Astyanax mexicanus: one gene and its partners. The protein of the gene in region 2 binds, or shares a complex with, the protein of the main gene of each other region. Links are inferred from orthologs where the notes say so. Each region holds a gene or a part of one and is shown on either strand. Other genes may lie near its edges.

What was found.
Region 1: the proteins of mtor (region 2) and mlst8 are in contact, whole or in part, in a crystal structure (PDB 4JSV), measured with the Homo sapiens proteins. The link is inferred for Astyanax mexicanus from reciprocal best matches to the Homo sapiens genes MTOR and MLST8. Residues at the interface, in NP_001373429.1 of Homo sapiens: Leu2269, Arg2270, Met2271, Ala2272, Pro2273, Asp2274, His2277, Leu2278, Thr2279, Leu2280, Met2281, Gln2282, Val2284, Glu2285, Val2286, Glu2288, His2289, Asn2292, Asn2293, Glu2536; in NP_001186102.1 of Homo sapiens: Tyr20, His22, Asp42, Ser43, Gln44, Val45, Asn46, Tyr62, Asn87, Glu105, Gln148, Thr174, Arg221, Tyr222, Leu224, Ser268, Arg270, Gly271, Trp272, Trp274, Ser290, Lys313, Val316.
Region 3: mtor (region 2) and mapkap1 share a complex: the UniProt entries of both Homo sapiens proteins name them as parts of the mechanistic target of rapamycin complex. The link is inferred for Astyanax mexicanus from reciprocal best matches to the Homo sapiens genes MTOR and MAPKAP1.
Region 4: the proteins of mtor (region 2) and fkbp3 are in contact, whole or in part, in a crystal structure (PDB 5GPG), measured with the Homo sapiens proteins. The link is inferred for Astyanax mexicanus from reciprocal best matches to the Homo sapiens genes MTOR and FKBP3. Residues at the interface, in NP_001373429.1 of Homo sapiens: Glu2032, Tyr2038, Phe2039, Gly2040, Arg2042, Tyr2088, Val2094, Leu2097, Tyr2105, His2106, Arg2109; in NP_002004.1 of Homo sapiens: Lys160, Pro161, Leu162, Ser163, Lys170, Tyr198, Lys201, Gly202, Gln203, Pro204, Asp205, Ala206.

Annotation. Positions count from the first base shown.
Region 1 is NC_064422.1:24,571,839-24,578,902, reverse strand, and holds the start of mlst8 (target of rapamycin complex subunit lst8), read left to right. Parts: upstream 1-4,056; 5' UTR 4,057-4,197; intron 4,198-4,496; exon of another isoform or gene 4,497-4,539; 5' UTR 4,540-4,547; coding exon 4,548-4,676; intron 4,677-5,623; coding exon 5,624-5,675; intron 5,676-5,764; coding exon 5,765-5,927; intron 5,928-6,011; coding exon 6,012-6,087; intron 6,088-6,232; coding exon 6,233-6,385; intron 6,386-6,497; coding exon 6,498-6,622; intron 6,623-6,718; coding exon 6,719-6,882; intron 6,883-7,064. Other genes in the region: meiob (meiosis-specific with OB domain-containing protein), read left to right, coding at 63-194, 304-376, 940-1,135, 1,221-1,321, 1,403-1,455, 1,542-1,637, 1,751-1,840, 2,108-2,252 and 3 more.
Region 2 is NC_064419.1:17,748,944-17,756,303, reverse strand, and holds the start of mtor (serine/threonine-protein kinase mTOR), read right to left. Parts: upstream 3,006-7,360; 5' UTR 2,941-3,005; intron 1,230-2,940; 5' UTR 1,198-1,229; coding exon 1,078-1,197; intron 884-1,077; coding exon 775-883; intron 1-774. UniProt on the Homo sapiens protein: Serine/threonine protein kinase which is a central regulator of cellular metabolism, growth and survival in response to hormones, growth factors, nutrients, energy and stress signals.
Region 3 is NC_064408.1:21,740,492-21,748,232, forward strand, and holds the start of mapkap1 (target of rapamycin complex 2 subunit MAPKAP1), read right to left. Parts: upstream 3,005-7,741; 5' UTR 2,672-3,004; intron 10-2,671; 5' UTR 1-9. UniProt on the Homo sapiens protein: Component of the mechanistic target of rapamycin complex 2 (mTORC2), which transduces signals from growth factors to pathways involved in proliferation, cytoskeletal organization, lipogenesis and anabolic output.
Region 4 is NC_064408.1:73,543,651-73,551,254, forward strand, and holds the start of fkbp3 (peptidyl-prolyl cis-trans isomerase FKBP3), read right to left. Parts: upstream 3,012-7,604; 5' UTR 2,997-3,011; coding exon 2,748-2,996; intron 2,283-2,747; coding exon 2,181-2,282; intron 1,629-2,180; coding exon 1,530-1,628; intron 1,388-1,529; coding exon 1,252-1,387; intron 960-1,251; coding exon 892-959; intron 803-891; coding exon 705-802; intron 1-704. UniProt on the Homo sapiens protein: FK506- and rapamycin-binding proteins (FKBPs) constitute a family of receptors for the two immunosuppressants which inhibit T-cell proliferation by arresting two distinct cytoplasmic signal transmission pathways. PPIases accelerate the folding of proteins.

The DNA of each region.
Region 1 (7,064 bases), on a different chromosome or scaffold from region 2:
AATAATTTGCACATTATGGGTCTATATTTATATGTTTTATAAAGCTGTTTTTTATATTCCAGATGTTGGATCTGAACGATTCACTTTCAGCTTTACTATTAAAGACTCCCTAGACCATTGCATTAATGTGTCTTCATGGGGCAAAGAGGATTATGTTCAAGGACTTTGCAGCCGGATCAGAATTGGAGATTGTGGTGAGACACAGCTTGAAATTATTTTAATTGTTCAGTTTTATATTACTGCATATTGCAAGACAGCATGTAACTAAAACTCAGCTTTTATTATTTTTCTTCTTTTGTTCAGTTGTCATTGAGAATCCACTTGTTGTTAACAAAGATCCTGAGAGAGAAGACCGATTCTGTCCTTCAACCTCAAGGTAAAATAATTGGACTATGTATTGGACAGAACATAGCTCATGATACAAGCATGACAATATAATTAGATATTTAAAAATCAAATTATAGGAAAAATGTCACAGTATAATAAACACCATTATTTGTATACCTCTTGAGTTTTTTTTTACTTGAACCAGCATAAAATACACATTTACACACTGCCATAATTCCAGTGTCTCTGCTGTGCTGAGAATGAGTTCATGACCAATGAATAAACAGGATAATAAAGTATGCAGATAATCAGAAAGACTACAACCTGTAATTATAGAACTACAAATTGCTCCCATATGTATAGTGGAGCTGAAAGATTAGCCAGTAGGGGTTCAGATTAGACAGAGAGTATAGAAACAAGGAGGTGGCATAATATATATATTTTTAAAACTATATCATGAATAGTTAATAGTGTATACTCATACATTATTTTCATTATGGTTTATACCTGACACAGAGTGTCACACTGGTGAAAACAGTTTGTAAAGAAACATGCAACAAAAATACCAATATACTTCGTTAAAATATTCAAAACAAATTCATTTGTCCACAGTTTTTACAGATTGCTGGTGACAGAAACTCATTCAGCCATAAGGATGTGTTCAGATTTAGAAACAGAGACCAGGCTCCTGTCTCTTTTCCACATACCAATAAAGGATTCAAGAGACTTCTATTCACTGGGAGACATTACTGCAAATGGGCAAAGCCTCAATGGAAGTTTCATTAACATTCTTGCTGCTGTGCGATCGGTAGGAAACTAACTAACTGTATGGAAATCACTAACTGATAAAACCATATGTTTTGTGTATCAAGCTTTTAATTTCTTTTGTTAAGGTCGGAGAGCAGAAGTTCTTTACTACTTCAGCAGGAAGAAATGGTCAGAGGCTAGAGATAAAGCTGTTTGATGAAACTTTGGCTTCCTTCCCTCTTGTATGGTATTGAATGTCTCTTGTATATCCAGAATATTTTTTTATTTCCTATTTTCATCCTCTTCATACTAATGCCCTATTTCTTAGCTGGGATCGAGAGACAATTCAGCTTCTACAGGCACTAACACCACGAGAGACAGGTAGGGTCATTCGCAGCAGTAAAATCAACATTTTACTGCAGCATTTTTTTGTGACAAGATTAAGAGATGTGTATTTTTACAATTAGTGCTGTTCATCGCGGATGCTCGCACCAGCTTTGATGGATTTCGTAACAGCATGTTGGCAACAGCCACCTCAAAAACAATCATTACCATTAATCCTGGTAAGAATGTGATTGTACCCCAAACTTCTCCAATCAAACTTTCATTCTTAACCAGTGGATGTTCTCGTCTCTGTGAGATTTAATCTTAGTTAATTGTTCTTTTCCATGTATAGATACAACTGAAGCCAACCAGCTGTTTAATTACGCAAGGGAAATATCTGACAGTGGACGACTAGATGAGCAAGAGAGTGATAATGTCCCTTGTATGTATTCATTGCTTTATATCATGTGTCTTGTCTTCCATCTCAAGTTTCTAATTCCAACAGTTAGTTTTCAATATTTACAGCCTTGGCTGGATGAGATTGTCAGCAGGACCTTTCTGTTGATTGCATGGATTAGCTGGGTTTTAGTGGAATTTAAACTGCACTTACTGCTGAAATATTACACTTACTGTACAAACTGTAAACTCAATAAAGGCAGTCTAAGACAAATCTCCAAATTTGAATATATACATCTATTTTATTTCCTAGTGGAATCCATTAATGAGGTGATGACAGTGAAACAAATCAAAGCCAAAATCCAAGACAGCTCAGATGTCTTCCATGGTGTGATCTATGCATTCTTTACAACTCTAGGATTAGATTCCTCCATGTCCAAACTTATTTGCAGCAGGTGGTAAGTATAAAATGCAGATAGCCCAACACAGTCCTGTTCTCTGACACCACATGTTATGTTCACAACATGAATGAACCACTGATCTATTTGTCTTTATGTTTTAGCACCAAATGCAGGTTCCAAGTCAGTGAGGAAATTGGGGCCTGCAGTAACATGGCATGTCCTAGTCAAGGACAACCACTGGAAGCCTCTCTAGACTTCAGCCTGCTGGTTAATATCAGTGATCACACTGGAACACTGAAGGGCTGTTCTCTGACAGGCACAGCTGCTGAGAAAACACTGGGTTGCACAGTAAGTAAAAACAAGCAAATTAAAAATTAAAATCCATTAAAAACGTTTGAGATGAGTTGTAGATGTGCTGGTGTTTTCTCCCTGAATGCAGTCAGATCCTCAAAGCAATTCTTCAAAATGTAGTAGAAAGATTCCTGCACAATTTAGGCAGTTAGGCCAACAAAAGCAGGACAAACCTGGTTTTGGAAAAAACATTGAATGAGCAGCATTCGTAAGGTCAGGATATTGGATGATTACCACCCCACCCTTTAAAAAAATAATTTAATGTTAATTAATTGAGTACAAATGAGTATCTTTATTTAATAAAGGTTATTCCTGCTGTATGAAAAAGAAAGTAAGTTTATGTGAAGTTTATGTGATTTTAAGTGCATGCCAGATAGCAAAAGGTGTCCCAGGTGTTAAGAAAAAACACTGAAATCTTTTTTTATATATAATATGAAAACAGATCATTTCTAAAAGCAAACTTTATTATACTTTTAGTCGGAGGAGTTTATGTGCTTCCCAGAGCCTCATCGAATGACCATGAAGTGGAGATTTCTGCTGGAGAGATGCAAAATTTATCTGAAGGTATAAGATACTATTTAAAAATGTACAGTAAATATTTTGTCATAAGTAGTACCTGTAATTTGATGTACTATATTTATATTTACTCTAGTTAAAATAGTGATATACAATTTGTATTATTGAACCATAAACAAGTTGGATAGTGAATGTTGTGTTATTGTAACTAGAATATCGATCTAGATAGAAATTGAGAAGTTGAGTGAATGTATTATATATTTTTATTAGGTTTTATCGAAGAAAACTGGCACAAGGGCACATATCCTTTCTTGTACACTTGCTGATCCAGTGGAAGTAAAGCAAAGCATGTCAGCCCTGACCATCTGAGTGTGTAACCTGACTGATGGGGAGCAAGGAAAATTAAAACAACAGTTGCAATGTTTTGAGTGAGGGTTCAGATTAAATGCATATTTTGCGTGAAATGAGGAAAGTGTTCAACAAGTGGTGAAATATTTATCATAATTTAGATAATTTATGGATATAGTTTGTGTTATATATTTGTGTATTTATGAAATGTGTTTATTTCACAGTTATACATTTATATATAATTTTACATATTTTCACAGTTATTACATTAATTACATAATTTCACAGTTATTACATTTATATGGATTAATGTAATATTTAGTGTGTAAGTAAAAGGGAGGGATATTTCTCGTATTTAATTTGCTTTTTTGTAAAAAAAAAATACTGTTTTATATTTGTGTTCTCTGTAGAAAAAAAAAAATCACAATGTTATGTTATTATTGTTGGGTTTAATGCTAATAAATATCACATGCTCATGCTCTGTGATTCATATGACACCCTTACTACCACCATCACTGTATTTAGTTAACGAAACCATACTATTTTTTTTTTACTAATAATTGGTAGCTATTTTAAAACTCTATACAGACCCAATAATTTATCTGTAAACGCAGCTGTTGTTGCCCTTGCTCTACTCGGAACTATTGAACGCTCTCAGTGTTTCAGTGGGGATGTTTTTTAGCGGGGAGTCCTTTGGTTGCCCATGTAAATAATGTGGATTTAGCGACTGGATTTTTATTATTATCAGTAATTTATTGAACTCGGAGTGGTCGTGATCTGCTGACAGGTAAGACTGAGTTTTATTCATTAATCTCCTTTAACCCTAAAGTAGATATTTATCTGTCTGTGGTTCATTTACTGCGACCTTCATGCTAACTTTAGCTTCATGCTTCAACCGTTACTCCAGCTAGTGTCTAAATCCTAGCGAAATTCCCACTAAAGCAGAACACATTACGTATATTTGCTTAATTCTCCAGTGTCAGAATCTCTACAGTAAAGGTGTTGTGTTTTTGTAGTGGTGGTGTGTTTTTTTCTGCGGTACGGACACTGACAGAGCTGGCACTGGATGGTGTTTAATATTATCAGTGGTCCGCAGGTCAGGACTGGGTCCACACTGTTCTCTCTGCAGGTCTGATCATGAATGTGAACCAGGGCACGGTCGGCAGTGACCCGGTGATCCTCGCCACCGCTGGATATGATCACACAGTCCGGTTCTGGCAGGCCCACAGCGGCATCTGCACCAGAACCGTCCAGCACCAGGACTCTGTATCCTTTCAGTCTGACAACAACATACTGTATATTAAAACTGTCACCAAATTTATGATTGTGTTTATATGTGAACACGTGTATAATTTGTGTAATAAGCCTGAAATATATATATATATATATATATATATATATATATATATATATATATATATATATATATATATATATATATATATTTTTTTTTTTTTTTTTATTGTAGATTAATATTAAAGACATGAAAACAATTAGGGACACATATGGAATTATGTAGTAAACAAAAACCTGGTGACTCCTTCAAGACGCTGAGAAAATACCAAGAGTGTGCAAATCTGTCATCAAAGCTAAATGTGGCTACTTAGTAAAATCTAAAGAAAATAACATTCACTTTTTGCTCACAGAATAATTAATATTTTCCTGTATAGCTTTAATGTCTTAAAATTTACGATAAAAAAGTCATAAAAAGTAAGAAAACACATGGAATGAGAAGATCAACTGTTCTTGAACTTATACTTAAAATTAAATAATATTGGGCTGATATATTCTGTCTCTGGTTGTGACTATTGTACATGCTTACATTGTGTAGGCAATGCTGAAATGATATATTGTAAAGCCCTGCTTTTAGGCATTTTAAAAACTCTTATCACAGGAAAAACTAATTATCCCTGCAATCAAAGTGTTTTTGGCTTAGACATTTTTGAACTGATGTTAACAAACTTAAATAAAGTAGCAAAAAAATCATTTAAGTCACCTGCAGGATTTAAACTTGCCCAAAACCAAACTAACTTAGTTGACAACCACACATCAATATGGATAGTGTCACTTGTGGTAGCTATTCCAAATAATCAATTCTTGATACTATGTTTTTTTTTTAATATGTCATGATGCTGGGAAAAAATATATATATGTGTATATATATATGTATATATATATTATTTAGTTCATATTTACTTTGACTCCAACATCAGCAGGTAAACTCACTAGAGGTAACGCCAGATAGGAGCATGATTGCAGCAGCTGGTGAGTCATAAATACATACATTTTCAGATTACATCTAATTAACAAATTAGATTGAATAGACGTTTTCATTGTGAGTTTTCTCCCTTCAGGTTATCAGCACATACGCATGTATGACCTAAATTCCAACAATCCGAACCCAGTAATTAATTACGATGGTGTTAGCAAAAATATTACGTCAGTCGGCTTCCATGAGGACGGGAGATGGATGTACACTGGAGGAGAGGACTGCATGGCACGTATTTGGGATCTCAGGTGATACAGAGCTGCTACTGGTTTACACATGAGACATTAAATATAAGTCTTTAATATAACCTGACACTCACTATTTTCACTTAGGTCAAGAAATCTGCAGTGTCAAAGGATCTTCCAGGTCAATGCACCTATTAACTGTGTGTGCCTGCATCCTAACCAAGTAAGAATTATTTAAGTACACTTTGTGTAAATGAAATAACTGAATCTGGTGGTACATTTGCTGGCTTGTGATGGCTTTATCCTCTAGAGGGAGGTAAAGATTTGTTCATTTTTTTATTTGTGTGCATTTTAAATCATTTTTAAAGGCTGAATTGTTTGTTGGGGACCAAAGCGGTGTGATCCACATCTGGGATCTTAAAACAGACCACAATGAGCAGCTCATCCCAGAGCCTGAGGTGTCTGTAAACTCTGTGCACATTGATCCTGATGCTAGCTACATGGCTGCTGTCAACAGTTCGGTCAGTATTTGTTTCGTACTCTATTCTCAGCCACACATTCTGATAATTCTTATTTAACACATCTAGTGGTTTTGGTATTAAAAGCCAAAGTTTATGTTGTTGCCTCCCACAGGGCAACTGTTATGTGTGGAACTTGGCAGGAGGAATTGGTGATGAAGTGACACAGCTTATTCCCAAGACTAAAATCCCTGCTCACAAGCGTTATTCCTTGCGCTGTAAATTTAGTCCAGACTCCACGTAAGAACAGCCCCAATAATAGTATAATAATGTTTTAGCAATACAAATACATGTAGGCCAGTTAATTTGATAAAACTAATTCTAATTCTGTTATAGATTGCTGGCTACATGCTCTGCTGATCAGACTTGTAAGATCTGGAGGACCTCCAACTTCTCACTGATGACAGAGCTGAGCATCAAGAGCAACAACCCTGGAGAGACGTCTCGCGGATGGATGTGGGACTGTGCTTTTTCTGGAGACTCACAGTACATTGTCACTGGTGAGTGAATGGAATACACCAAATAGGTTTTGGTAACAAATAGGACTTGTTGGGTCTGAAAAAACATGCATGTTGGGCTGGGCAATGACTCAAACTTAATGAACAGAACCTCTAACCTTGCCTAGATTAATTATTTTAAGTTTTTAAAATTCTGTTAACATGATGGACGTATTTAAATCCTG
Region 2 (7,360 bases):
CTACAGTTTATATGTGTAGGACTAACGTGCCTCGTGGTGGAACAGAATAAAGATGTTAACTCCACTAACCGGATAATACCGCTCTCCACAGTAATATTACAGCCAAATCAGTGAGTAGCAGAGCTAACTAGCTAACCACACACACCACCAAACGCTGCAGAAGTACAGCAGCTGCAGGAGTCAAAAAGCTAAAACAATCATATTCAGATTTTTAGTTATATTTTTTTACAGTAAATGTAGGTTATTTTAAGAAGTAAGATAACGCCAGAAAACAGGCATGTTAGGATACCCATTCCTGCAGAATTGGTGTCTAAGTAAACAAAAACAAATATAAAACTAAAACTATTTTATGCACATATAAATCCATTTATTTACAGTCAGGTTGTATTTCCAATGTTTGCTTAGAGGTGGCCATAATCAGGGGAATCTGTACCAAGTTTGCCTGGCTTCTCAGCGGTATTAATGTGGCATTTGGCCCAGCTAAAGATTGATATTGAGCTGAAAGACAATCGATAAATGAAATCGTCCCCAAACAGATTTATCGGTCTTTCTCTACCCTGTATTTGTAATTCTGAAAGCTTCTGTTGTCACCAAATGTGAAATGTACAATACATATATGTTGTACACTCAATCTGCATGAGAAAATAACAGTTAAAGTAAATAACTGACTGACCAACATAGCAATAATATTCCTGTATGAGATGAGTGTCCATAAACTGTGCATAACACTGTACTAAGTGCAATGGATTGTCAAAAGAATGAAGTCATACTCACCAATAGCAAGAATACCGCCCTTTTTCTCATTTACATCAGAGCTGGAGACCAGCTCAAATATGTGGTGATTCAGCTCATCATAGAAAGTGGTGGCTTCATCTTGGCTTAACTTTAATGTAAAGAACACAGAGGTGACGAGGGTTAGTATACGATAGCTTAGACCAATTTCAACAGAATTCTACAAAACAAATATGCTAGTGTAGCCAAAACATTACACATCGCCTCATATTTTACCCCCATTTTGCTTTCATTATTCGCAACAACAGACTTTTAAGCAACAGTTGCATTTATACTGTTCCATACTTCTCTCAGCTCTGTAGTGACATAATGCTGGAGGTCTTTAGCAGCTTTGGCCCTTGTGTCCTCATTCCGACTCTTGAGGCCACTCACGAACTGCTGCAGCACTGTAGCTGTGCCCGACATGCTGGCAGCAGAAGTACCGCTACCTGCGGTCTCTGCAAAAACGGGAAGACAAGAAGAAACATTTTGTTTGTTATGCATGTATGAACAACTTGGGTTAGGTGTTCTTTCCATCAGCCATTTATCGTTCACCAAAATTATAGTTCGGCCTATAATAACTTTAAATGAAAATCTCAAAGAAAAATTGCTGACCAAAGATACTCGTCTTATTTGCAGATCCAAGATCCCATGTATGTGGTAGAGAATTAATGCAGTGAAATCTACACGTTACACATATTCAAATATTCAGAAAAACCAATGCATATCACCTTTAAAGCAATGAAACGATCAACATACCTTTAAATATATTGGTCTGGAATTTAATTTAATAACGTAATTTTATAAATCAGTGACTCTGAGGGGACACTTGAAGAACTTATTAAATTAAGGGGGCAGATTTTGTTTTGCTAATAGAGTAAACGTTTACTAAATTGACAGAGCAAATTATTAAGCTTAGGGTACATTTTATTAAATTAAGGGAACAGATTGTTAAATCAAGGTCATTCTTTATTACATTGAGGGAATAGTTTATCTAATTGAGGGAAAATATAGTTAAATCGAGGGAATTCTTATTTTCTTTACATTAAGGGAATAAATGATCAAATTTAGGAAATTCTTTACATTAAAGGAACAACTTACTAAATTGAAAGAATTGTTTATTAAATTGATAAGAAAAACAGATGGCTTAATTTAGGAAAGAATTAATTAAACAAAGAAAGCACTGTAAGTACCTTTATAATGTAACCTATGTGTTTTGTCATAATGCTTTTTTAGCCATACCTAATGCATAGAAACGAATAGTAAATAAGCACTGTACCGCCACTTTTCTTTAAAATAATGAGGAATGAACTGGATTTTCAGTTCAGCTGAGGGAAGAGATTTTGTAATCAAAGGAATTATTTAACCTACTGAATTAATGGAACATATTTTAGCTGAGAAAACAATTTATTAGAACTGAGAGAAACAGATTGATGAATCAAGGGAAGGATTTGTTATACTGACAGAACAATTTATTAAATTAAGAAAACAGTTTAGTATATGAAAAGGACAATATTAAAACTTGAGAAAAACGAACCTGTTAAATTGAGGGAACGATTTATTAAACAGATAGACACTTTTAAGTCTTCACATGCTGTAACCTTTGTGGTTTGCCCAAACGTATTTTAGCCATAACTAATGCAGCTAGAGTTAAGTAGTTAAGCTAACGTAGCTTAACTAAACGTGTGTTAAATAGAAATGTTGTCATAGCCATACCATACACACAGTGCAGCGTTCTGCTGTAACACGGGTCACGCACACATTGTTATGGGTATAGCAGTTAGCCTGCCAGCTAGCCTCAAACTTGCCATGTAAAATTAAATGCTGTGGCCTGAAGATAACCTTAAAAAGGGCTGAACTGTGTAAAGCGGCAGCGGCTGAGAGGGAGCGGGTATATCTGAGCTCTGGTTAAAGCGGTTACCGGTCACTTTCCTGACCTGTTTAAACTCCCACAGCCGGGAAAACCTGCTAACTCTGGACTAGCCTAATGTGCTACAGTTAGCCTGGAGCCCAGTCAGTCTCAGTCTCAGTCTTAGTCTTAGTCTTAGCTGTGCTGTAAGCCGTTTACGGAGATAATTTAAAGCTCAGTAACAGTTAAATTAAACCTGAAGCAGAAGCACGATAAAACCGCAGCTGTTAAACCGGTTAAAACAGACAGACAGCTCTTACTTTTACTGTGTTCTCTCTCCTCTGAAGATGTTCTGTTCGCAAGGCTGCAGAGGAATACTGGGCGGGGTTTTTACCTAGCAGGACCCAGTCCACCAATAGGCTGAGGCTTGGCAATGAGTGACAGATTAATCAGCCATTCAGAAGCCGGTAAAACCGACCAGCGCACAGGAAGCCGCTCGGGATTTGTTGTTTAATCACAAATAGGGCTGGACTAGAGATGGATTCAACCAATCACAGCATTCTCCTTTCAGTGACAGAATGAAGATAGCCAAAGGGCCTTTCTTGTCAATCAGTAGAGTCAATATTCTTTTTTTGTCTTTTTTCCTCAAAAATGTTTTTTTTTTTTTTTTTTTTCAGGAATGTACAGACCACCACAGTGGAATACATGCGATTAAGCACCCAACATTAACAGTTTAAACTTAATGGAAGAATGAATCGATCTGAGTTTTATTATACATCCATGAGCACATATTACATTGTGTGCTAGAAAAGGTGGCAAGCCTAAAATGAATGGAATTGCAACCAAAAATGACAAAAAGATATTTTTCAAAAAAAGATCAACACAAAGTACAACTTATCTGCAAAAAAAAAAAATAATAATAATTTATAGATATACCCAAAATTTATTGAATGGTAACCAAATAGGGTTCTTCTATAATATAAGGATTGACAGGATATTTCAGTAATGGTCAACAATGTCTGTCTGCCACCCATCTTGGATTCCAGTGATGCTCACTTGTAGTTACAACAATTAACCAGTGAATGAACCTCAATGGAAGGGGGCAGTAGAGAACATTCTAAGGGCTGATATGCAATTCCACCATAGAAATCACTGCGTTTAGGAGAAAATATCATTTAAACAGCTTTCCACTGTAGTGACCGCTATGCACCAGAGCGTAAAAAAAAGGGTTGATAAAAATGCTTTTGAATTAATAATAGATTTGTATATGAACTGATTTGTTTCATAAACAGTAGCTTTTATAAAATCTAATTTTAATGGATTGCAACAGTGACTTAAAGCAGCACTAGGTAGGATTTCCTTGATTTTTCATCTTTTTAAAGAAGTAAAATTACAGCTTGAAACTCACTGCAGTGCTGCATTGAGGTGCGTGTCTGTGCCGGGATCCTCTGAGCTTAAACCAGACTCTGTAAGTTTTCCGAGAACTGCGACCTGCTTTCTGAACTTTAATTCTAACAGTTCTACAAGGACTAGTGGTTAATTCTTTACAAACTAACATACACACACTCTGGCACAAGCTGGAAAGAGACCGAATATGTCTGTGAAAACAAGAAAGAGAAACTAATCACCTGAAACATTTATTACACTCTACAACTGTAGGGGGAGCCCACGAGCACAAAATCTCCATCCTACCTAGTGGAGCTTTAAAGGTGCAATAAGTAGTTTTTGTAATAAGAAAATGAATTATATACACTACCGTTCAAAAGTTTGGGGTCACATTGAAACGTCCTTATTTTTGAAGGAAAAGCACTGTACTTTTCAATGAAGATAACTTTAAACTAGTCCTAACTTTAAACAAATACACTCTGTACATTGCTAATGTGGTAAATGACTATTCTAGCTGCAAATGTCTGGTTTTGGTGCAATATCTACATAGGTGTATAGAGGCCCATTTCCAGCAACTATCACTCCAGTGTTCTAATGGTACAATGTGTTTGCTCATTGGCTCAGAAGGCTAATTGATGATTAGAAAACCCTTGTGCAATCATGTTCACACACCTGAAAACAGTCTAGCTCATTACAGAAGCTACAAAACTGACCTTCCTTTGAGCAGATTGAGTTTCTGGAGCATCACATTTGTGGGGTTAATTAAACGCTCAAAATGGCCAGAAAAAGAGAACTTTCATCTGAAACTCGACAGTCTATTCTTGTTCTTAGAAATGAAGGCTATTCCATGCGAGAAATTGCTAAGAAATTGAAGATTTCCTACAACGGTGTGTACTACTCCCTTCAGAGGACAGCACAAACAGGCTCTAACCAGAGTAGAAAAAGAAGTGGGAGGCCGCGTTGCACAACTAAGCAAGAAGATAAGTACATTAGAGTCTCTAGTTTGAGAAACAGACGCTTCACAGGTCCCCAACTGGCATCTTCATTAAATAGTACCCGCAAAACACCAGTGTCAACATCTACAGTGAAGAGGCGGCTGCAGGATTTTGGGCTTCAGGGCAGAGTGGCAAAGAAAAAGCCATATCTGAGACTGGCTAATAAAAGAAAAAGATTAAGATGGGCAAAAGAACACAGACATTGGACAGAGGAAGACTGGAAAAAAGTGTTGTGGTAGGATGAATCCAAGTTTGAGGTGTTTGGATCACAAAGAAGAACGTTTGTGAGACGCAGAACAAATGAAAAGATGCTGGAAGAATGCCTGACGCCATCTGTTAAGCATGGTGGAGGTAATGTGATGGTCTGGGGTTGCTTTGGTGCTGGTAAGGTGGGAGATTTGTACAGGGTAAAAGGGATTCTGAATAAGGAAGGCTATCACTCCATTTTGCAATGCCATGCCATACCCAGTGGACAGCACCTGATCGGAGCCAATTTCGTCCTACAACAGGACAATGACCCTAAACACACCTCCAAATTGTGCAAGAACTATTTACAGCAGAAGCAGGCAACTGGTATTCTATTGGTAATGGAGTGGCCAGCGCAGTCACCAGATCTGAACCCCATTGAGCTGTTGTGGGAGCAGCTTGACCGTATGGTACGCCAGAAGTGCCCATCCAACCAATCCAACTTGTGGGAGCTGCTTCTAGAAGCGTGGGGTGCAATTTCTCCAGCTTACCTCAACAAATCAACAGCTAGAATGCCAAAGGTGTGCAGTGCTGTAATTGCTGCAAATGGAGGATTCTTTGATGAAAGCAAAGTTTGATGTAAAAACAATGTTATTTCAAATACAAATCATTATTTCTAACCTTGTCAATGTCTTGACTCTATTTTCTATTCATTTCACAACGTATGGTGGTGAATAAGTGTGACTTTTCATGGAAAACACAAAATTGTTTGAGTGACCCCAAACTTTTGAACGGTAGTGTACCTAACAATATAAATGTCTGAATCTTTAATATTGGAATGTTGTGAGGGCAAAGTCTTTCCTTCTGTAGCAGTCACAGAGTGAATAAAAAAAAACTTATCTGTATAAAAAATTTACTGTACCTTTAAAGACGAGTAACAAAAATGCCTTATATTAACACAATTCAATGTTAAATAATAAAATGTGGCTATGATTAATATATCAAAATCTTCCAATTTGTTCATTACCCATCAATCAATTATCTAATCAAATAAAAATAAAAATCATCTTTCAAAGTGCTTTTCAATCAGTTTTTACTGTGAACTCCCTGTATTTACTTTTCTTGTTCCCGCCCCAAGCATCTATAGGGTGCGTTTCCCAAAAAACATCAAACTTACCGAATAACAAACAAACTAATGCATGATATGAGAAAAGATTGAGCCAGTTCTGTAAGTTTTTCTTCCCAAAGAGCTTTGCAAATCGAAAATTAAACGAGTTAAAAGAACATCTTTGTTGACTCCTCCCCCTAAACAGCCCACAAACATCAATTCAGCACTGGCAAATATAGAACATGTATTCACTATTACGCCCAAAAACCATAGAAATGTGTTGTAATCAACATCCTTAAGCATATTCTGAAATAAAAAAAAAATCCGACGTACTTAGGCCTTGTAAAATACTCTTAAACACATAAATGACTAAATAAATAACACAAATATTTACAGTACCAGTCAAAAGTTTGGACACGCCTTTTCTCACTCAATGCGTTTATTTCTTCTTTTTATGATTTTTTACATTGTAAATTTAAAATCGACATTAAAACTATACAGGAGCTCATGCCGAACAAAAAGTTCTAATCAATACAGAATATGTTTTATACTTTAGATTCTTCTCAGTAACATTTATTTAAGGACAGATCTGCACACTTTTTGTATTCCATTATCTTGGTATTTTATTATCTATCTTGGTATTTTAATCTCAGTGTCTTCATGAGGTAGAGTCACCTGGAATAGTTCTCAGCATCTTAAAGGAGTTCCTGGAGGTGCTGAACTATAGTTGCTGCTTTTACTTCCTGCTGTGAAGCTCTAGCTCAATGCCCACCAAACCAACACCTGAGTTTTTACTGTTTACTACATAATTTCATACCTGTTCATTAAACTTTTGACTGGTACTATATATATATTGTTGCAAGCTGACAAAACTCAGAGTTTGCCCAGATAAATGGTCACAATGTCATTAAAAGCCTTTGTGAATTATATATTACCTGCACATTCACCGCAGAATCAGTGGGATTGTGTTGGGCGTGTGTATAGGGATAGGCATCCCATGTTTTGGACCTACAGTACCTGGGGTGTTCCCAAAGTCATGGAAATGTATTTTGCTGTCCTGTAATT
Region 3 (7,741 bases), on a different chromosome or scaffold from region 2:
TGTGCCTGCCTGCGAAAAAGAAAAATATTCAACATTTAATTTTATGAAATGTTCATACTTATTATAAATGCCCAATTTTAGTTCGGGTCATCCGACACTAGCTGCTTTATAAAAAAAAAAAGAAAAAAAAAAGTATGAAGATGGGCATCATACCTATTGGTAGACACTTACCCCTAGCCATTATTAAATGTGCATTATTAACAAAGAAGCTTGTCATATTCTATTATGATCTGTGTTCAAAATGTCAAAGGATCATTATCTTAATGCTCAAGTGATGCCAAGTTTGTTCTTCTTCAAGAATACATGACACAAGAGTTGTCATTATAATACTTTAGAAAAACTTTAGCCAAGCGATTTGGGGAGCTAAGGCTTATGAACATTCCATTGTATTACTCCACACTTTTTACAAAGGTTGTGAAAGGTCAGATCAGATAACCTTAAAGGTCAAGTCAACTTCTGGTTTTCAGATGCTAAAAACAGAAATCCAACACTTCTAGCACTGAATCACAACCATAGTTTGTTATAAACAATGCAAAGCACTCAAAATAGAATAGAATACAATGCAGGTAACTGGCACTTGTTGAACTACAAAAAATAAAGCAGCATTACAGTACTTTTACATCACTGCCAAAAAACAAATGCACACTTCAAGCATAACTTAAAAACTGATAGACACAGCCCAAATTTCTGAGGCAAAATATCATCCAGAACTAGCAAGCCAGAATAAGAGCATATTTTGGAGTCAATATATATTAATATAATTATTATAAACATTCATAACCCAATAATTCAGTTTTGAAAGCAAACAAATATTAATTAATTATTAAAACTTGTTTAACTAAAACTTGGAAAATGTGCACACAACAGATGATGCACTCTTACAACAGCTCACGCCCAGAGACAACATGACAACAAGCGTTAGCTAGCCTAGCTAGCAGCTGTTAGCTTAAAATACATATGCAAGTTCACAGGCTTGCTTTAACTAAGAGCCCAGTGGTTAGCTGGCTATCTTTATTTTGTATTTTTATTACATTTAACGTTATTGTCTTTATTAACAGTTTTTTTAGCCTTGTTCCTAATACTGCTAAGATTAGAAAGCTAAAACAGCAGGCTGGCTAGCTAGCTTTGCTAACTAGCTACTAGGCAAACAGCTGAATGTGAAACTGAATGTAGCTAACTGAACTCATCAGTTGGTGTGTGTTAACGTTTGATCTACACGTTTGTCCAGTTTCCCAGCTGAACGTCCCCTCAACTTTTTTAACCTACAGGTCCAACATGCACACAAACAAATGTAGCGAGCTAATGCGGGTAAGTTAGCTAGCTTTGGGACAAATAGCAAGATGTGAGACTGTGCTAGCGCTGGGTGGTTAGCTAGAGTTAGTTAGCTAGCTTATCGGGGTGTTTAGAAGACCAGGCCGAGGAAGTAGAAAGCAAACAAAGGGTTTTGTACCTAGATAACTAACTATCTAACTTAACTAACTACTAACTGCCTGAATAACTCTGTGTATAGTTGAGGCAGCTGGTAACCTAGCTAGTTAGCTTACAAAATCCTGGGAAGGAGTTTTAGCTACTTCACTCAAAACTTAAGGTTAACTAGCTAGATAACTAGATATACAGCTAAACAACACACTGGTTAGAAAGATAGGGTTAACTAAGTTAACCCACGCTAGCGTTAAATAACAACTGCTAGCAAACAACGCTATTTTATCTACATCAAGCCTACACCAAGCCAAGCCACTAGATGAGCTAGTTAGCTAGTTCATCTTTTTTTGTAAACAAATGTTAGCTATGGCTGCCTAGTTACGGCTTAAAACACAGCTACTAGCTAACCTAGCTAGGTTAGCTAATGCTAGTTTTAAGTTAACAGGGCTTGGTCTTATGCTATTTAGCAAACTAGCTAGCTAACGGTAGCTATATTAACTTGTGTACTGACCCAGCATTGCTAGCTAGATACCAACTGCCTGGATGACTGTGTACAGTTGAGGCAGCTGGTAACCTAGCTGTTATAGCTTACAGGAGTTTTAGCTACTTTTGACATGGATTTGGCAGCTAAGTTTCTTTTGGGGTAAAGGTTAACTAGCTAGCTAACTGCATATAACTACAGATAAACATATATGTTAGCTACACAACACATTAGTTACATGGTTAGGGTTAACTAACTTAACCCTGCTAATCACGTTAAATAACAGCTGCTAGCTAGCTAGGTTATTTACACCAAGCCTCCAGCAGAACCGCCCAGTAAGTTGTAGTTAACTAACCAAAAGGTAGGTAAGGGTATCTATTAACAAAGTCCTGGGATGTTTTTGTAGCGTAGGTAACCCATGTAACTTAACTTAACGTTACTCTGTGGACCTGGATTAGTTAGCTTATTTACCCATATTTAGAAGAGGAACACGCTCACACAAAGCCACTAGATTAGCTAATCTAGCTAGCTAGCTAGCTACTAAAATTGCTGACATTTTTTGGTAAACAAATGTTAGCTATGGCTGCCTAGTTACAGCTTAAAACACAGCCACTAGCTAGCTAGGATTGCTAGCTAGCTTCTAGATAACAGGGCTTGGTCTAACGCTATTTGGCAAGCCTATCTAGCTAGCTACTTGTCTACTGACCAAGCCTAGCTAGCTAGCCAGTTAGCTAGCTAAACAAACCAATGTTAGCTAACGTAGATTACCTTCATGCATTCCCAGACCGACTGCTGAATATATCCACACTCTGTAACAGCAGGAGTACAGCCATAGCTGCTAAACGCCTCGTCCCATCGCCTCTCATGTGTATCATATACTCTCAGTAATAATACAGCATTTCCTCTGTTGTTATCACAGCTAATGGTAGGGGCTAGCTATTTCCGTCAAGTTTACCCTCGTACAGGAAGTGTAATGCATCAACGAGACGCGCAGGAACGCCCTCTGGGGAGCACGAGAAAAGCCCACCCTACTGTACTGTACTGTACTGTAGCTACTTCACTACACACTACTGAAGTGTACAGTAAGCTTGCTGCACTGCACTGCTGCTGATAGTGATGTAACAGTGCTGCACGTGGGCTCCACTTCTCATTTGATGTTTTCTTTCATTTTATGCTCATTCCAATGTCCAGCTCATCATAAATCACCCATCTCAGTTATGTTTAGGTCCAGAGACTGTGGAGGACAAACACCTTTTTCATTTCTTTAATATTAATATACAATGTAGAAAATACATGAAATAAAGAAATTAAAAAAACATATTCAGTGTCCAAAGTTTTAACTGGTAGCTACTCAACACTACTCTCTCAACACTGATAGCTGTCTAAAATGTATGCAGCTCTTGGAAAATAAGAGACCACGTCAGTTTCTGAATATGTTTCTCTGATTTTGCTATTTATAGGTAAATGTTTGAGTAAAATGAACGTTGTTGCTTTATTCTATAAACTACAGACAACATTTCTCCCAAATTCCAAATAAAAATATTGTCATTTAGAGCATTTGCAGAAAATTAGAAATGGCTGTAATAACAAAAAAGATGCAGAGCTTTCAGACCTCAAATAATGCAAAGAAAACAAGTTCATATTCATAAAATTTTCAGAAATTCAGAAATCAATATTTGGTAGAATAACCCTGGTTTTTAATCACAGTTTTTTGCATCCTTGCATGTTCTCCACCTACAGTTATTAAACAAATGGCACCCATTAAATCCCCATTAAAACCTAAATTAAATCTCTTTTAAAATAATTTAAATCATTTGAAGTAAACAATCATATTTTTACATTTATTAACTTAAATTATTCACTTTATTTTGATAGTTTTGCATATGTGCATACAATTTTGTTTCACAGTCAAGATTTCCTATGATGGCTGAAATAAGTCATTGCATTTATTTAGCTATTTTTGTTTTATTATTCCCTAATATTTAAATAATAACAGAAAATATACACATATAAACTGTTTAGACCACAAAACAGGCTAAATACAAGGCAGGAATAATGTTCCATGTAATGTTCCATAATTATTATTTGGATGTTAAAAACTCAAAAACTGAGTTTGAAAATCATGGTTAGTCCTGGCAAATCTTACAATTGACTTCAAAAACAGATATTACATGAATTGAAAGATATTATGTGAAAGCATATAATTTTTTTTTTTACTTCCCATGGTTACTTTTGAACTCGCCTCATCTGTAGAGCCGCTGAATGGACAGCAGAGGGTGCTGTTGCTTTAAGCTACTACAGCGCCTTGCACAGGCTCATGTGTCTGGATTACAAGTGACATTTGTGATGGGTCAGGTTTATTTTACAGATTGTCTGTTTGACTGTTTGACAGATCTGTATTAATATATCAAATATGTTATTTCTAATCCGAACAAAAAGCCTGAATAGTGTTATATGCATAAAAAAATAAAATATATTCACAGAAAAATAATTATTTAACTCTATTTTAATAAACTTCTTTAGCTAAGTCTGCTATGTTCTGGTCTGATCATAAACTGTGGGCTTTTAGACATATTTCTGATTAGATATGTGCTTTTTGAGGGCTTCTCACTACTGTGTGTTACATCATAGTTTTCTATATCACCAATTCACCCGCAGAGGAACTACCATCACCATGCTTTATGTCCAGTCCAAACCTAACAGTCCTCATTCAGTTCATCAAAAACTTGTGAAGGCAGTTATTGTGAGGGTGGAACAGGTGGAATAGGTTTCGAGAGGGCTGTGTTTGGTGGCAGGGGTGGAAAAGTCAGAAGCAATACGTTCTGCAATTAAAAAATATATTGTGGAGCCACACTATCATTCAGTGAAAGTCAGAAATCGTGGACATTTATTTATTATTTATTTTGTGACTGATGAATTGTAGATTAATATTACACCAGGATAAATAGCTTTTTTTATGAACAATGTCATTTTGCAATGATCTGATGTTCTTTGTGTTTTTTTAAGTAGAAACAATATGATTAAATGCTTGGAAACTTAACTCAATAACACGAGAAAAAGAGGAAAATCTAATTTTGTCTCTCAGGTGTAAAGAGTAATTAGGATGAGGTATTGTTTTCTCTTGGATATTTATTTGAATAAATGTTTCTAATAAAACAAATACCCAAGTATTGTGTCAAATGTCTAAAATAATCCTGTAAAATATAGAATTGGAGGTACAATCATTCAAGTGTAGAACTACAATAAATTGCATCCTTAGGTTTGTTTCTTGTGTGATCTTCTCAGACCTGTACTGATCAGATGTTTCCTGGCAGTGAGTATAAAATATATTACCCTGCTCAGGAGCTGCTCAGAGGACAATATCACTCTATACACACTCTCAACACTACACTGGTGTGACACAGTGGTGAGTACATTTATGATATCTTAATGCTGTTAGATCTCTCCACTGTGAACTCCAGCTGAGTTCAGCTTTATCTGAGCCGGCTTCTGCAGATCTCATTTACACCGTTTAACACAGTAAATATTCCCAGAGGAAAGAATGGTTCCAAATGAGGAGCTCCTCTTAATCTGATTTACTCCTCCCAGATTTTGTTAACTCCTGTTTTAAATCAGTGGGGGACAATTTCTTTTTCTGGTCGGCTCTTGAGAAACAGCCTGTTTTTCACTTTGATCACAAACTTGTCTCAGATATTTCCAACTGATCTCACTCCGACTCAGACAAATAAAACTATTAGATGTATTCCTGTATAACGGAAATAGAGCAGGGTCCTGTATAAACTGGCATGCCAAAAATCATGTGATGGGCATAATGTATATATATTTGTATAAGTTGTGAGGTCTCATCTTGTAAGTGAGGTTGAACACTGACCAGTGTGCTTGTGGGAGGATGGATAGGTCAGTGTAACATTGTTTATTCAATATTCATTTTAAACACCATTATGAAATAGCAACCTGTTTGCTGTTTTTGATTTTTTAAACAAGAAATCAGTGTCAAGTCAAGTCAAGTAGTTTTATTGTCAATACTGCATATGTACACTACATACAAAGAATTGAAATGATGTTACTCTCCTTCCCAATTTTACAGCAAGTACAGATAATAGATATAATAAAAGAGAATGGGAGACACTATGGGTACAATACAGCAGGGACACAAATATACATACATGAGACAAAAACAAGGTGCAGTGGTGTGGGGGAGAAATAGATATATAAATATAAGTAAAAAAAAGAAATAGATATATAATATAAAAGAGACATTATATGTACAATACAACAAGACACAATAAACATACGGAAGACGGAAGACAATAGTGCAATATTGGTGGTGATTGAGATGGAATGACAGTATAAATAGTATATAACAGTAGTGCAATATTTTATATTGCAAATATGGTATATGGTCACATGTGTAACAAGGGACCAGCGAAGTCTGGCTAGAATGGTAAAAAATAAGAGCCCACTTAAAAATGATGAGTTTCTTCTATTTTACCACATTTAAAAACCTCAGGAATATAATCAAAATATAAACCAATGTGAACTGCTTGAATTTTTGCAACAGAAGTGGCATAAAATTATCCAAAAGCAGTGTGTAAAACTGGTGGAGGAGAAAATGCCAAGATGCATTAAAACTGTGATTAAAATCCAGGGTTATTCCACCAATTATTGATTTCTGAAATCTTAGAACTTTATGAATATGAACTTATTTTCTTTGCATTATTTTGAATTTAGGTCTGAAAGCACTGCATCTTTTTTGTTATTTCAGCCATTTCAAATTTTCTGCATATACATGCTCCAAATTACAATATTTTTACTTGGAATTTGGGAGAAATGTTGTTCGTAGTTTATAGAATAAAACAACAATGTTCATTTTACTCAAACATATAATTATAAGTAGCAAAATCAGAGAAACTGATTCCGAAACTGAAGCAGTCTCTCTATGTTTTCCAGAGCTGTATATGCTTCAGGTCAGTGCAGTGTTCTTTAGCTTCCATAGGACATGGCTAAAGTAAAGAGGTACAGAACTAGTCCTATGAAATTTGGCACTTGCTAATTGATTGTTTGTTCTGAAATCGTAAGTTTATAAAAAGAGTTTTTTCATGCTTTTGTTGGATTGCCTCTACTCTCTACTGTCCAGGGAAGGATTTCTATTATATATATATTTTTTAATATTGCTGTGATGATTTTGTTGAATTCAGTGACTAGAGCTTTAGTGAGGTCAGTACCTTGGATGATCTCAACCTGATTCCAACTCATCTTCAACTCCCCAAAATTATCCCAGATGTTTTGGATGGAGCACCATCATTCAATGCTTGAGGGCTTTATACCCTTCTAACCACGTACTCAATCATGGGATTAGGCATTGTTAAGCCAGGAGGTTCACATTTACAGTTCTTATCTGGGGTGCTGTTAACTTGTGGTTGCTAAGGCTGGTAACTCTGATGAACTTATCCTGTGCCACAGAGATAACTCTTGCTCTTCCTTTCCTGTGGCAGTCCTGATTAGAGCCAGTTTCATCATAACATTTTTGATGATCTTTGTGACTGCACTAGAGGATACTTTAGTTTTTTCTTGATATAATATGGATTAAAACATTAATCAAATACTGCATACCAACTCTACCTCTTCACAACTTTACAACTGATGCTCTCAAACACTTTAAGAGGACAAGAAATTCTAATAATTAACTCCTGAAAGGTTCAGCACAGCTGTTAACTGAAAGCCTGAATTTCAGGTGACTCTACCTCATAAAACTGACTGAGAAAATCCACCCAAGATGTGCAAAACTGTCATCTATGCAGGAGGTGCCTATACTTTTAAAATAAATCAGCATTGATG
Region 4 (7,604 bases), on a different chromosome or scaffold from region 2:
TGTATATGTGTATATATATATATATATATATATATATATATATATATATATATATATATATATATATATATATATATATATATATATAGCAACTCTAAAAGCACACAAACACCATTATTAATTACGTAGATGTATTAAGTAAATAAATATGGGCCGAGAAAATATAAAAAAAGTGACTAAATGGGACCACATTAAATAAATTGCCCTGATAGGATAAAAGGTTGTCCTCATTTTTTTTTATTAATTTAAGCTGCGTTTGCAGATTAAAAAAATATATATATTAGTCATTATGTATAACAACTAATAATTGTTATAATTTTTGGTTTCACATGATAAAACTGGGGAAAACTTACAAAGTGAAAAAAAAAAAAAAGTATTTGAACCGGTGTAATATTATTTTTAACACTTTAAACATTTAGATTTACTGCAGTTTTAACTGCGTTGAATCAGTGAGGTTTGATAGGTCATACTGTTTCAAGGGGAGAGATGAAGACAGACATTCCTTTGGTTAATTTGTAAAATTAAAGTAGCTGGTTCATTATTTGCAACGATTGTTTCAGAAAATTCATTGCAGGACAGCTAGATGGCTGCACCACTAGGAAGAACCTTCTAAATGCAATTCAAAGCAGATTACTACAGCAATGTTTTTAAATCACTAAATACACAGTAATTCTTCAAGATATGGAAAATCTAGAAAAGGATACTTGGAATCAGGAAGCCCTTTTTTACCGTACGCCCACTCTGACTCGATTTCCAACTGTGCAGTCTCACCTTTACTCATGGTCAGGAGACCTTCATCCCACTGCAAGTGATTTGGAGAATATCATCAGTATAATGGATCAGATAAGCATCCACATATTGAAACGTTTTCCACAATGACTAAAAACTTACCCCTCTGATAACTTTGCCCAACCCGACTTTAAAAGACAGTGGTTTGGACTGTTTCTTCTTTCTTGCAGCTGCAAAGATGATAGTGACCCATTATTAATCTTCCACTGTCATGCTCCCAAGGAAATTATTTATTTTCTGAATTTACAATAACTGAAAAAATATCTGTATGTCACATTTAATAATAAATCAAGCTACTACACAGTAATTATGCTTTAGACAGTGAAAATGTGTTTGTGTTTAAGCTGAAACTTATTTATACTTGTCAACAATGCATGTATTTTACCCAGGGTGCCCAATTTTATAATTTAAGACTGGGCATATAATACGTATACATGTCTGCGGAAAATTGTGAAGGCATACTTGTAGGGATGTTGGTGTCGAAGACGGTGCCATCCTCAAGTGTGCCAGTGTACCAACATGCTACTGTATCACCCTTTTTAGGGAAGTTGGTCTTGTCTCCTTTCTTTAGCACTGCCTTTGTGAACTTGGGGGGACCCTGTTCAGCAAAAAAACAACTACTTATAATAGGAATAAATATGTTCATGATTACATTACAATTAACCTTTTGTAACAGTTAATAGTATTCTGTTAATCTGTGTTTTAACAATTTCAGTATGTTTTGTGCTCAAGCACAATACCTCATCCACAACTTCTGTCTTTGATTCTTTGGGCGCATCATCAATTTTTACAGCTTTCACGTCCTCAGTCACTTGCTCCACTTCTGTGCCTTTAAACCTCTGCAATTGACAACAGAAATAGATGGCGTGGTCATCTTTAGCCAGTAAAACATTATACAGTTCTTAATTACATTTTAAAAGATAAATGCCACAACCAAGCTGAAAACAGGAAAGAAAAAGTTTAATAATCCCTACCTGATTAGGAATCCAGAATAAAATTGTACTTTTCATTGTTTGCTTGATGTTTTAATTCTGCAGTGTCCACTCTGTAGTGTTTGTGGGTTTCACAGTTCTATGCAACTCGCAATTAAAAAAATATTCGGCAGACAATTTAGATAAAACTGCCCCTGCATCTAGAAATTAAAAAAAAAATGGTACTTAAATAAGCAGCTTTAGGTTTTAGATTGTCTGTAAATAAATATACAAGAAATATATACTGACCATTTAAAAGGATCAATACATCTCTAACATACAATGAACCGTTTCTACAGCTGTGTTAAGGGTTTTGTACAGTTCTGCCTGGCTAAATTCAATGTACTTTCATCACATTTCAGCAGACTGCCCACAGCAATAATGGCTTAGCTGGTCTCTTTAAGTGTAGATTATGCTTACCTTACTTTCGAAGAGCTGGTTGTAAGCTACAATGAGCTGTTCCTTCTTTGCAGTCTTTGCAACATTCTTAATATTTCCCATAAGCTTGTGCTCGGCAAGAAACTGAAAACACAAAGAAACATGCTGCATTAAAACCAGCACACTGCATTAAAACCTGCACACTGCATTAAAACCCGCACACTGCATTAAAACCTGCATACTGCATTAGAACCTCCCCACTGCATTGCAACCTGTGAACTGCATTGAAACCTGCATACTGCATTAGTACCTCCCCACTGCATTAGAACCTGCACACTGCATTAAAAATATTAGCCATACAAACTCTTATTTCGGGGGAAATATCATGCTGAAGCAGTACAGGATTGTAATATTGTTTTTACAGTAGGATAATGCAGTAGGGGGCTCTCCTCAGTCAGCTATGAAGTCAGCAGTGTGGATCTGCTGGGGCTGCTGGTAGCTCATTAGACAGCATGCAGCAGCAGCTAATGCTATCCGGCTGCGGTGGAGCTGCTTCACAGTTTAAGGTCCTGAGTCGAGTTTCCGGGTCTGGGTCTAAGAGCTGCGTACCGAGTGACAGGCGTTGTCCTGGATGAACTTGATCAGATCTTTTTTAGGAACATCTTCTCCTTTCAGTGTCTCATCGCTCCACTCTCGTGTGGGTTCAGCAGCCATTTTCCCCAAACTTCGCGACCTCTCACTCCCCGCGTGGGGCCGTATCAGCCAATCAGAGCGCTTTATGACCCTCCGCGCCTCAGGACCGGTGTTCTGTCGAGTTATGCTACCCATCGATATGTGCTTCTCAACAGCACTGCGCATGCGCCAACCCACATTTTTTATGTTTTCATGTTTTTTATGATAAATCCGTTTTCCTTGGGGGCATCAAACCACCTGCTTGAATGTTACAAACTGTAAATGGCAATTAAAAATAATAATAATAATAATAATAAACTATAAAAAAACCTACAGTTATATAACCATAAATTTACCTGATACAGTAATTTAGCCTATCCCAACATCCAACACTTCCTATTCCGGGAGCATTTTCTAATATGGTCCTTTTTGTATTTTTACTTTTAAATATACACTAGGGTAGCACGGTTTGACAAGGTTGCCCAACCCGTCAGAACAATGGCCACTCTCACCTGCTGCGCATCACTTCAAACACTGGCTAGTGTTATATAGTGCTGGATGTTAATCTACACAGATGTCTCTGTTTATTTGGGTGAGTAAAGCGCTTCTGTTTATTTAGTTTGGAACAAAATACCTTCCACTACCAGATCAGGAGAATCTCTCGCTATCTTTAAAAAAACTCCTGAAGACAGAGCTCTTCAAAGAGCACTTACTCTCCTAACACCTCTAACTACTTCTAACCTCATTTTCTTTCTCCCCTCCTTCACTTCTCTATCCCATTATTTCCCTTCGACCTCCTTTAAGCCCTATCTAAAAATGTTTTATCTTTAACTTCTATTACTTTTGTACTTGACTATTGTAAGTCACTTTGGACAAAAGTGTCTGCCAAATGTAATGTAATGTAATGTAACTTACAGTAAGCTTAGATTTCTGAATTTCTCAAGCACTAAGGCTGGAGCATTGACATTAGCGTCTAACCACTAGCAATTAGCGGCCAATGCCGCCCGACAGCACTACACTGAGGAACCTCGAGTGCTCCAGTAAGCCATTGAGTCTGATATACTCCCCTCTAAACAGTAAAAGAGGCAGCATGGTTAGCGGCTAATGCTGCTCCAGCAGTGCTACCTGGGGTTAGAAACAGGCTACAGGTTGATAATACCCACCTTTGAACGGCTAAAGTGCTAGCTCTTAGCAAGGCTAGCCAGTAATGCTAATGCTGCTCCAGCAGTGCTAGTCGGGATTAGGAGCAGGCTACAGACAGATAATACCAACCTCTAAACTGGGACATAGCAATTAGCGGCTAATGATAATACTGCTCCAGTCCTGGTGCTAGAGAACTAAACTGAGACTCCTGTATAACGCTGTACTTCAGTGGAGTAGTGGTAAACTTGACTGGTAAAATTCATACATAAGGTGCACTGAATTAAAAGATGCACTGACGATTTTCGGGAAAAGTAAAGGATTTTAATTGCGCCTTACAGTGCGAAAAATACGGTAATTTAATTGATTGCAGGTCACATGAAATATATACAAGTATAAATGATTTTTAGCAGAACTACTTATCAAACACTTGGCTGACATATATACGGTAACTCTATGTATGAGAAATACTTGCTGTTTGGCGACGTGATTGCGTAGATGACCAAGAGCATTCCTAATGTTATTGGCTGTGTGCTACACATGTTACCAGAGGCTTCCACTAGAGGGCAGCTCAGACGTCTGATGAATGCTGGACAGAACACCCACCAACTCCATCCTTTTTTCGTTTTTTGGACATTTTCTGCCATGGGTAGATGTAGAGGTCTTAGTGCACATATCCATGTAAACAGCTTAATTCACAATACACCTGGTGATCTATGCAAACGTATGGCCAAACAGCAACTATATTTAGCCTTAATTTCAGAAGGAAATGCACAACTAGTGCTCCAAATGAATGCAGGAGACACATAACACTGGATTATAGGGTGCATTTTAAGCAGCACTTGTTAAAACAGGAGTGTTGCCATGTTTCCTTTTAATTCAGCAGGTCTCTCCGCTGGGGAGCAATATGATAGGCTTAATTAAACAAAACTGTCATTTTAATTAGCAGTAGACTTCACTCTGATCTACTCACCTCTGAACGGCCAAAAAGCTAGCGCTTAGCAGGCAATGCTAATACTTGTCTGATAAGTGTAATAAGCTAATTAGGTTTAGTTTCAGACCAAACTGTAGCTGTTTTCTCTATTCTCTGACACAATGCATAGAAGTGCATTGTTCATTTCACCAGTGGTCCATTATTGGTTTGCTGTTGGGTACCTGTCCACCAACACTGATCTATAGTATGCATACCTAGGTTGTGCTTGAGGTACCACAGGTCCTTAGTATGACTAGCCTATAAAGACTTCTTCTCAGTAGCCTCTTGTTCAAACACATTACAGTGTAAGGAGGCTTTGTGGCAGTGTTACCTGTAAACATCACATAATGACACTGAGGCATCTTGTGAAACTCATCTATTTTTCATTTCTTTACAGATATCATTTTGATACTATAAATAGTATTAAAAACTTTTAAAATGGTATCTTCTTTGGAGACTTTGTTTTCCACCATTTTTCATTGTGATGTTTTAATTTCCTTTCACATTGGCTGTGAAGAATACATTGTAGGGCTTTGAGCTGAATTAATGTTTTGTGAAAATTGTTATAATATGAGTTATCATGACATACACTTCAAAAAGTTGTGATATCACCTTGAATAAAAGCTAACTGCTAATTGCCTGCATGCACCTACACACTGCTGTTTTCTCATGACATAACTAGGCTGGATGCAGAGTGAAGTAAAACCTTAAAGGAGCCAAAACTAATGTATTAACTCAAATATATTAATTCTTGTCTTTCAAATATCGCACAGGATGCATTTCCTGCTGTACAAGGGTTAATTCAGTTTGCAACAACCTTTTATTATGTAGTGATCTTGCAATGCAGCCCACCATTAAAATACAGCTTTTGTCTGACTATCTAGTTACTTCAGACTGGACCAGAGTGTGATTAATCAGTGAAATCTCGAGCGAGAGTTTTGTAAAGTGTACTTTATCAGCAGAGGTTGTTTTGGAAGGGGTTCATTAAAGATGGGAAAGAAAATAAAAATGTGATTTGAGATTCAGTGTAGTTTGGCTCAATTTTAAATATATTGCTCCAAAATATATCAAGTGACGTAGCTTTAATACCTAAAAAAGTGACATTTTCATGGATACATTTGAATAAAACACATAGGAGAAATCTCTGCCCTTGTGATTTTTACTTAAGCCTAATTTACACTCCCTTACACTTCCTTTCTGTAATGGTTTACTTAATTCAATCCCCCCAGCAGGACTGCTGCCTCATCAAGTTACAAAAGTGGAACACTTTTTTACTAATTTCACCAGGGGATCCTCATTAAAGCTAGCAGTACATGATCATACCTTTTGTTTGCTGTAAGCAACTGAAATGCAGTGAAATGTGTTAAAATTGCATTGTGGTTTAATTGTTTCACCTTAATGTCTTTTTATTTATTTTAAAGATGAATCATTTTACAGTGGGCAATTTGAATTCTAAAGGTAATCTGTTCCTAATTCTGCCTTTACAAAATGTCACCTTGGCTGATATTGTATATACATACTGATGTGGTGGGGCAAATTATTTAGTTTTTTAGTTTTTATACTATATTAAAACATTTGAGATAAAAATATCAATTCAAGATTATATATCAGAAATATTTAAACCATAATCCATTCAGATGGTCTTTAAACTTAAAAAAAAAAATCTTCAAAAACTTTAATCTGGCCTTCTGGCCTTGAATTCTCCAAACACTTATGCCAGTCACAATATGTCTCTAGTCACACCTCTGCTCTGATTATTGTAAATGAAAAAAAGGTACAGCCCACTTGTTTTGTGATGATGTTGCAAGGCCACAACACTTGGGGGCAGTAGATACACATGAAGTTTTAGCTCATAAAAATGTTTTTACTGTGGAATCACCATCTGAAGAGTGAGAGGAGCTAATCTTCATTTTCTTGAGTGAACATTAAACTGAATCACTCATCAGTGTTTATGATGACACTTCTAGAAAAAGAACAGGGAGCAGCTTTCTGGTGTTCCGTGTCAGATCTTCCAACAAATGCATTTCTTCCCAGTTCAGTTTATCGGAACACAGGTCACTGTCTTCAGTGAACCTTGGAAGAGATTTGGAACAAATTTTGTCATACTCCAGTGGTTCTGCAGAAAAACAACGCAATGTGTGGATTCAGCGACATCTGACCTTGACCTCGTGACTCTAACTCGATCAACTTGCCAGTGTTGAGCTTCTGAAGCTGAGTGCATTGCTGTGTGCCAGCCCCTCCTTAAGTCTTCAGAAAGTGAGGTTGGAAAATTAGCATTAAAAATTCATTATCTCAATTAATTACCACCATGTGGTTCACTAAGAGGTAGAAATACGAACACCCCAGGGTCTAGAGGTGAACAGCAGGTCTATAATAAATTTGGACTAAACCAAGCTATTACAAACAAACCTGAAGGGAGCAGAGTGTAATTTTCTATGGGCGATTTCTGGTGTTTACACAAGTTGTTTAGAAGTGATTTACTAGCATGCATATGGCTTGAAATTTGTGCAAACACTTGTAATATGGTAATATGTTCAGGGATTTGCCTCTGAAAACTTAGCTTGTGTATGCCCAGGCTGGGGAAATCGTTTATTTTTGCTTTGCTTTGGAAGTTGATTTTGAATGAAAGAAACTGTGTGCCTGCAAACGCAAAGTAATTACGTGAAGTACTGAATCTAGAG